Linked DNA regions of Coturnix japonica. The protein of the gene in region 2 binds, or shares a complex with, the protein of the main gene of each other region. Links are inferred from orthologs where the notes say so. Each region holds a gene or a part of one and is shown on either strand. Other genes may lie near its edges.

What was found. Proteins that work in one complex are often made in the same cells at the same time.
Region 1: the proteins of ARHGEF7 (region 2) and ITCH are in contact, whole or in part, in a crystal structure (PDB 5SXP), measured with the Homo sapiens proteins. The link is inferred for Coturnix japonica from reciprocal best matches to the Homo sapiens genes ARHGEF7 and ITCH. Residues at the interface, in NP_001106983.1 of Homo sapiens: Phe193, Phe195, Thr198, Asp201, Glu202, Arg215, Glu217, Glu218, Gly219, Gly220, Trp221, Glu223, Thr230, Trp232, Pro234, Asn236, Tyr237; in NP_001244066.1 of Homo sapiens: Arg252, Pro253, Pro254, Arg255, Pro256, Arg258, Pro259, Pro260, Pro261, Pro262, Thr263, Pro264, Arg266.

The regions. Positions count from the first base shown.
Region 1 is NC_029535.1:1,347,747-1,351,401, reverse strand, and holds part of ITCH (E3 ubiquitin-protein ligase Itchy homolog), read left to right. Parts: intron 1-1,304; coding exon 1,305-1,474; intron 1,475-2,617; coding exon 2,618-2,852; intron 2,853-3,655. UniProt on the Homo sapiens protein: Acts as an Acts as an E3 ubiquitin-protein ligase which accepts ubiquitin from an E2 ubiquitin-conjugating enzyme in the form of a thioester and then directly transfers the ubiquitin to targeted substrates.
Region 2 is NC_029516.1:125,581,317-125,584,971, reverse strand, and holds part of ARHGEF7 (rho guanine nucleotide exchange factor 7), read right to left. Parts: intron 2,549-3,655; coding exon 2,410-2,548; intron 1,510-2,409; coding exon 1,450-1,509; intron 305-1,449; coding exon 158-304; intron 1-157. UniProt on the Homo sapiens protein: Acts as a RAC1 guanine nucleotide exchange factor (GEF) and can induce membrane ruffling. Functions in cell migration, attachment and cell spreading. Promotes targeting of RAC1 to focal adhesions. May function as a positive regulator of apoptosis.

The DNA of each region.
Region 1 (3,655 bases), on a different chromosome or scaffold from region 2:
ATAAGTACACAAAAGATAAAAGGTTATACTTTTGACTGTAAAGTTCTGACAGAAGCAGTGTGCTTCCTGGGACCAGGGGAAAGCTAGGCTATAATTCTTGCAAACTTCACATCCCTAATGATTTGTACATTATGTCGTAGTCATTTATTTTAGGGTGGTTGTAGCATGGTATGAATTGTCTTGGAAACACTTCTTAACAGAAAGGGTAGTTAAACACTGGAATAGGCTCTCCAGGGAGGTGGTTGAGTCACTGTCCCTGGATGTGTTTAAGGGTTGTTTGGATGTGGTGCTCAGAAATATGATTTAGCGGAGGGTTGTTAGAGTTAGGGTACTATGGTTAGACTGCGGTTGGACTTGATGGTCTTTAAGGTCTTTTCCAACCTGAGTGATTCTGTGATTCTATGTGTACCACACCTAGTATAGAACAAAGGTGCATTTGACATTGATATTGAGGTCAGACATACGTGATTCTACTTGATCCCTTATGCCTTGTGGTTTAACTGGTTTTACCTACTATCTATTGTGCATTTATAAGAGGTAATTTTAAAGGCATTGGTCTGAAATTAAACCTGTGTATTTGTTACTTATGGCCTCTGTATTTGACCTGCCAATCCACTAGATTAACAAAATGCTTTAGACATAAAGATGTAGATGCATTTAACTTTGCTCAGTGGAGTATGAATGTACCAGATTAATACATTGCTAGGTGTAACTGAGCAATACAGAATGAATGAAGACAGCTATTTCAAGTGAAGTGCTTGAAAAGTTGAGATGTCATTTATGAATTCGTAGCTCCTCGTCAAAATGTTAATGCTTAGGCCTAAATTCTCTATCAGTATTCAGGACTGAGCTTAGGGGGAAAATCTGTGTGTGTAGTTAATTTGTCTACAATTTTCAAACATTCTGTTTGTTCTGAACATATGCTTACTGTGTGGAGCCAATGCATACAGGCTGTTCTCCAGTCTTAATCAGCTTCCTATCTCATTAGAGAATAGTGGCATTCATGGGAGGAAATAGCTGAGCAACAAAATGCAGAGGGCCTGAAGGCAGGTATATTGAGTTGGGGAATGAAAAGGAGATTTCAGCAGTGGATGTGTGTACATCTGTTTCACCACCTTTACATCAACTGAGGTCTTGAACACCTCAGGGGGTAAATTCTCAGTGTTTGTACAAACATGTTTTTTATAATTAACATGAATGTAAAAATCTTATCTGGCCATAGTTATTACATTCTCATTTCTGTTTTAAAACTTGTCATCCATACACTCTTATTATAGTTCTCCTTTTTGTCTCCTCCTACAAAGGACTAACTCAAATGGCCTTGAAAGCTCTGAAGATGCTGCTCCAAATGAAAACAAAACTGTTAATGGCAGTGATTCTCCACTGCTCACAAATGGAAGCTGCAAACCTTCTCGACCTCCAAGGCCTGCTAGACCGCCTCCACCCACACCCCGCAGACCCGCATCTGTAGCTGGTGCGTATTCTAGGGCCAGACATCCATTTCAAAGCTATTGATGAGCTGCACAGTCTTAAAATGAACACAAAGATTTCCAATGAGTGTTTATAACTACAATTTTTTTCATGGTAAATTCTTGGATAATTCCTATTTTAACAGTTTGCATTCAATATCATTGATTCTCTTATGAGTAATTTCTTGTTTCCACGACTGAGAAGTGATGATTGTAGTGATACTGCTAAATATATTGGAGCCGGTGCCAAAAGAACATGAGTGAGTGCTACTGTTGCATTCAGTTAATTTTAATGAGACCTATGAACATATTTGCTGAAGGACTTACAGAACTGTCTCAAGTAGATAATAGTGGGGTTTGAAAGACTGCTAATTTCTTTCTACTGTTCTGGTTAAATTCTTTGAAACAGCAGCACCTCAAACATTGATTGCACGAAAACAAATAGGTTTTTTTGTCTATCTTATAATTTCAAAACTACAAAACTTTAAGACAGTGGTAGGTGTTTTCAGGTTAACTCCTCCACATGCACACTCTGCCATCTGTTTTGGCGGTCTCATTGTGACAGTTGATAAATACTGAGGCTGGATGGAAAACTTGGCTGCAGTAATTGTTTTAAAAGGTAAAGGCAGTGTAGTTTAGTAATAAGACTGGTGTATAGTTCTTAATACTGCCTACCAAATGGCCTGCATGGGGGAAGAAATCTGAAAGCACTTAAAGAGTATATGTATTCTCCCTTTCACACCCTTCATTTTCCCACATCGTGTCAAATCTCTTCTTCAAAATGTTATGCATGATATCTCAAAAATTATTGCAATAATGGGAAGTCCGTAAATGCAAACAAATGGCTTTTTCTTTATAGTCATCTGGTGTTTACAGAGTGCAGACAAGTTGCTTTGCTAAATAACATAATTTGTAATATCAAAGCTGTGCAGCTGATTGCAGTTCTTGGATTAAAGCAGTTTTAAGAGTGCAACTAAATTGCCTTTTTTTTTCCTTAGTTTTTGTGTGAAGTAGAAAATGTAGCTGTGTGTGCACTTCCAACTACCACCTTTTGCATGCTTACTTGTGGACTTACAAATTCTGCAATAGGTTACCAATAACGAGAGAAATACCAGTTAAAAATTTGGTTTTTTTCTAATCTGCCATAGGAAGTGTAAATGGTTCTCCATCCACGTCCACAGAGAATGATGGGGCCAGTGCAGGTTCACTGGCAGGTGCAACTGCAAATACGTCTTCAGAACCGAGCCCTGAGGGGGCAACAGCAGCAACAACAGCTCCTGCAACTGCTGCACTCACCACACCTCCAGTGTCAAGACAAGTCCAGCCAGTAAATCCTCCAACTCAGGCACTAACCACAGTCAGCCAAGGTCCTCTTCCACCTGGGTATGAGTTTAATGCATTTTTCTGCTTTTTCTGTTTTCTAATTTTAAGCATACAAAAATACAAATAACATCTGTCTTTTCCTGCATAACAAAAATTCCCAAAAGCTTTTAAAATAAAGGTTTTCTAAACTGTTTGACCTAGTGGACCTTCAAGTGGGTGTATATGTGTGTGTGTGTCTGTGTGTGTATATACATATGTGTATATATATAAACATATATATACGCACATATATACACACACATACACACATATATGTATAGTTTAGTCAAGAAAGGAATTCAGTTTGAGTAGTTTAGATGCTCTTTGTAAGCTGCTAAGTCAGTGAAACGGAGGTTTTAAATAGTGAGACAACCTGCTGTCTTCAAATTAGAGTGAAGTCAAGCAGTAAGAAACTGGTTTAAGTAAGTAGAAGGAAAGTTATTGTTGCGGGACGTAATCTGCTATATGTCTCTACGTTTTGGAATTCATACATTGCGTCTCCTGAGAGCATTGTGGGCACCATCTCATACCCATGTGGAATTTGTTACATGATTGGTCTCTTGCTTCGAAGACATGATTTAGGTTCTTAACTTTTTCTTTAAAAGATAGAAATGTTTCCGTACTCTGAGTGAGCGAAAGCAAAAGCTTCCTAATGTGAGTGGTATAGTAGGTGAAGTATTACCTGCTTTAATTTGCCTGCAGTTAAAGCAATAGATAGCTTGGATTACCACACTTACAGGATAACTGTGAAAGCAATTTTGAAGATGTCGGTTGTTGCTTTACCATTTTTATTTCATTAGAGATGGCAAATTACTGTGCATTTT
Region 2 (3,655 bases):
TTTGTTTCCTATTTTATAATATAAGCCTTAAATCAGTGCAGAATGTATTCTAGATTAATATAGCAATGTATTTCTATTTCTGCTACAAAATGATTATTATCAATTTAACTGCAAAAAGAGAAAGGAAGACTGACAGTAAAGATGAGAAGTACATTACCTCACTTCCAGCGCACTGAATCATGACCTGGGACATGTAAATCACATTGCCAAGTGTTTTAATATCTTCTCCCTCCCAACAGCGAATTGCTTCTGTTAGTATTTGTAGTTCAAGTTCTTTCCGTTTTCGTACTTCTTGACATTGTGCCTAACAAATAAGAGGCAAAAATATTCTTTTGTATCAACTCTACCAACACAGAACAGGTTGAGGGTAGAAATACCACTATATATTTACCATTGTCATTGTAGTACACAGAAGACAGTACCTACATTTGCAGCATTTTCATATATTGCTACTACCAGTATTTCCCATAAAACTAGTCTAACTTAATAGTATTTCTTTCTTTAATAGACTAACTTCAATTAGAAATTGGTAGTCACATCCTTGTTTTTTAAATTACCCTTTCCATTTTTATACTTGTGACAAAAAACATCTAGGCCAAGCAGGAAGAAGTAATGCAGCTGTCTTGAATACATATAGCTACACGCAAAATATACTTGAATTACAAGAGACTCGTCAATTGTGCAAACAGAGTACACACAACCTTCTGCTCCTATTTCTGTTACACTTCCTGCCAATCTATTTCACTAACTGTACTCCCAACTTATCCCACTTGCTTTTCCCTCAAGAAGTGTTTCCTTTCATTTGTGAAGTGCTCAGACTCACAGATCCTCCAGCCTTTTCTGAACACAGACCACAGTAAAATTTCTGCTTTAAAATGTAAAAAACGGGAAGTGCCTCCATTGCTAACAGGAAACACAAAAGTTTACTGTAATTGAGAATGCAAGAAATACATCTGTTGCAGTTGTACTTCTTAAATTTAATAGTTGTATTCTTCAGAATTAAGATCTATTGTCCTTTAAACAGCAATATCAACTCATCTGTCCAAAACAGGCTTATTATCTTGATTATTTAAAGATCCCATATTCCCATCCTCATTTGCACTATCTGCACTATCACTTCTCCCCCAGCTCCAGCACAATTCCCCTAGAATGAATGCACCTTTGTACAATCTCAGAAATACACTCAAATGTTGTGGCCCTTCTTTAGGTCACAAGTGCAAACAGAAAGGAAAATGAAGCACAAATAAGAGCCTATTTGCTGTAACTCCCCAACAAGGTGCAGTTCTTAGCCCTGCCCACAAACTACATTAATCTCCAGAGTCCCAGAACTTTCAGCAAATTTTCTTATACAGGTGTGTACAAAAAAGTTTCACATTTTAAAACCAACAGGGATTAAACCAGAAAACATGATGCTGAAAATATACATGATCTATTTTTCATTCCTCTTACAGAAAGGTTTTTGAAGGCTGTCATGGATTTTTGAATATCTGGACGATCTGGATGGTAATCCTAAAAGCAAGGGAAAAAAAACATAGTAAAAAAAATCAGTTTTAGTAAAAATAATAATAAAAATGCTTAGAGGCTTAACTAAAAGCAAATCAACAATCCAATAAAATAAAAGCTGTTAGACCTATCTGTTCTCTTTCCATAACCTTCCAATTCAACATACTGGTGGTCTTCCTCTTGGTAAAAGTGAAATAGGAATGTTGTAGTTGACTCTTTTGCTTAAAAAAGTGTCAAGGAAATTTTACATGTCCTTCTGGACACATAAAATTGCTTACCAACTTGAACTCCTAATACAAAGTGCATATTTTTAAGGGTTTTATTTGGCTTGTTGTCTTTCATTGTAAATACATCACACTCCCTAGATACAAAATGTCAGGCTGTCATTGACTGACAAACCATGTGACTCAGAGTACAGTTTCTAGTTCTCTTTCTCCTTCACAGCTAAGAAATCTAGCCTATAAGATGAAAATGCAGAGACAGTTGATCTTCAAACATCTTCCCACGGTGGAAAGATCATTTCTGGACAGTGTTCAGTAGAAGTCAAGATGATGCATCCAACAGGTTGAAATCCTAACATGAAAAGCAAAACTCCTACAAGATAAAGTTGCCTCAAGTTGTGTGTACAGTAGACCAAAAAAACCCAAAAACAAAACACAAACATCAAGTCTGCAAGACTCTTCTAGGGGTGAAGGTTGGCTTCTCTGTCTAGCTCTACTGTAAACATTTAGCTTTCTCAGGAAGTCTTATTGCACCACCTTCTGAAATATTGCAGCCCATATCTTGGAAGGCTGAAGAAAAAGGAAACAAAGGTAATTTGGGGTCCCATCATGTTTGACATGTACCTTTAAAATAACTGATGTCAAATCATCATTAAGCTGGAACATAAATGCTGATAAGATATACCTCCATGTGCCTTTCAAGCTCTTTGAGTAACGTGGGGTATTTATCCAGACGCATAAAAGGTTTGCTGAGGCCTGTGGTCAGGACAAGGATCCCAGGGCTGTTGGCACCTTTCACCTCCATGAATTCTCCTAGCTCCTCACTGCACACACAAGATATTTAAGCAAAGTAAGATCAAGTTACTAAGAATATTAAAGTTAAATTAGATTCTTCAGTCATTCACACGCCATGAATTCTGCCAATAAAAGGTTAATTCCAATTAATTAAAAAAGAATAATTCAAGAATTTAAGTACAACTTAAGAGATGTCATCATTTTGTTCTTGCTTAACGCAGAGACATCTATCAATCTGGGTTCCACCATACATTCAGGAGGCAGAGATAGGATTTCACTCACCATTCTAGGGGACTGATGCTCAGAGATAGCTCTTAAACGTCACTACACTCAAGGAAAAGTTGAAGAATAAAGCCATTTGCACAGTATTTCATTACTTACCTCTTTATTCTAAGAAAACGACATCTGAACTTAGAAGTGGTTTATGTACATAATGGCCAGGCATAAGCTAGTAAATGGCTCTATACTGAATCAAGTGCTGAATCAAACACTGCTGTTTTTAATGCAGCAAACACTAATGTGAAAGCAGAGAGTAAGAACCTTCTTCCTAACACATTTCAGTGTTTCATGACCTATCACACATCCAAGGTTCTAGTGCAATTTTGGTCATTTGATTAATTAATCAGCAGCCACACAAATGGTAGATGATATCAGGTACTGGCATGCAGTCTATCCTCATGAGCTACAGTTTCAAGGTAGGTATAATTACATAACACTTCTTGACATCAGCATTAGTTCAAGAAACCAACACTCTCCAAACATCATGAATTGATATTTCCTCTACCCATAGCTTTTCATATTTGGATCAACTGACTTGCAGCACATCCCTTCCAGTTGTTACACAAATTCTCATGTTGCTTTGCTACCTTTTAATGGAATTAAAGTTCACTCTGCTATCAGTGAAGCTTACGTTATCTACGTTCTCTGCTTCCTTATACAGCAGAGATTTCAGAGAAATAAGGTAGAGGACAAGTTGCTACTGGTCATCCAAACACAAAAAAAAAGAAGTAAAAAAATAAATCAGCCTTCTCCTTCAGAAAGGAAGGTACAGCAGCACCTGAGCTTATCCCCAGGCTTGAGAAAACACACATTGCAGAAGTACACAAACGTCTGAATACAAGATCTAGTTAAGAAAA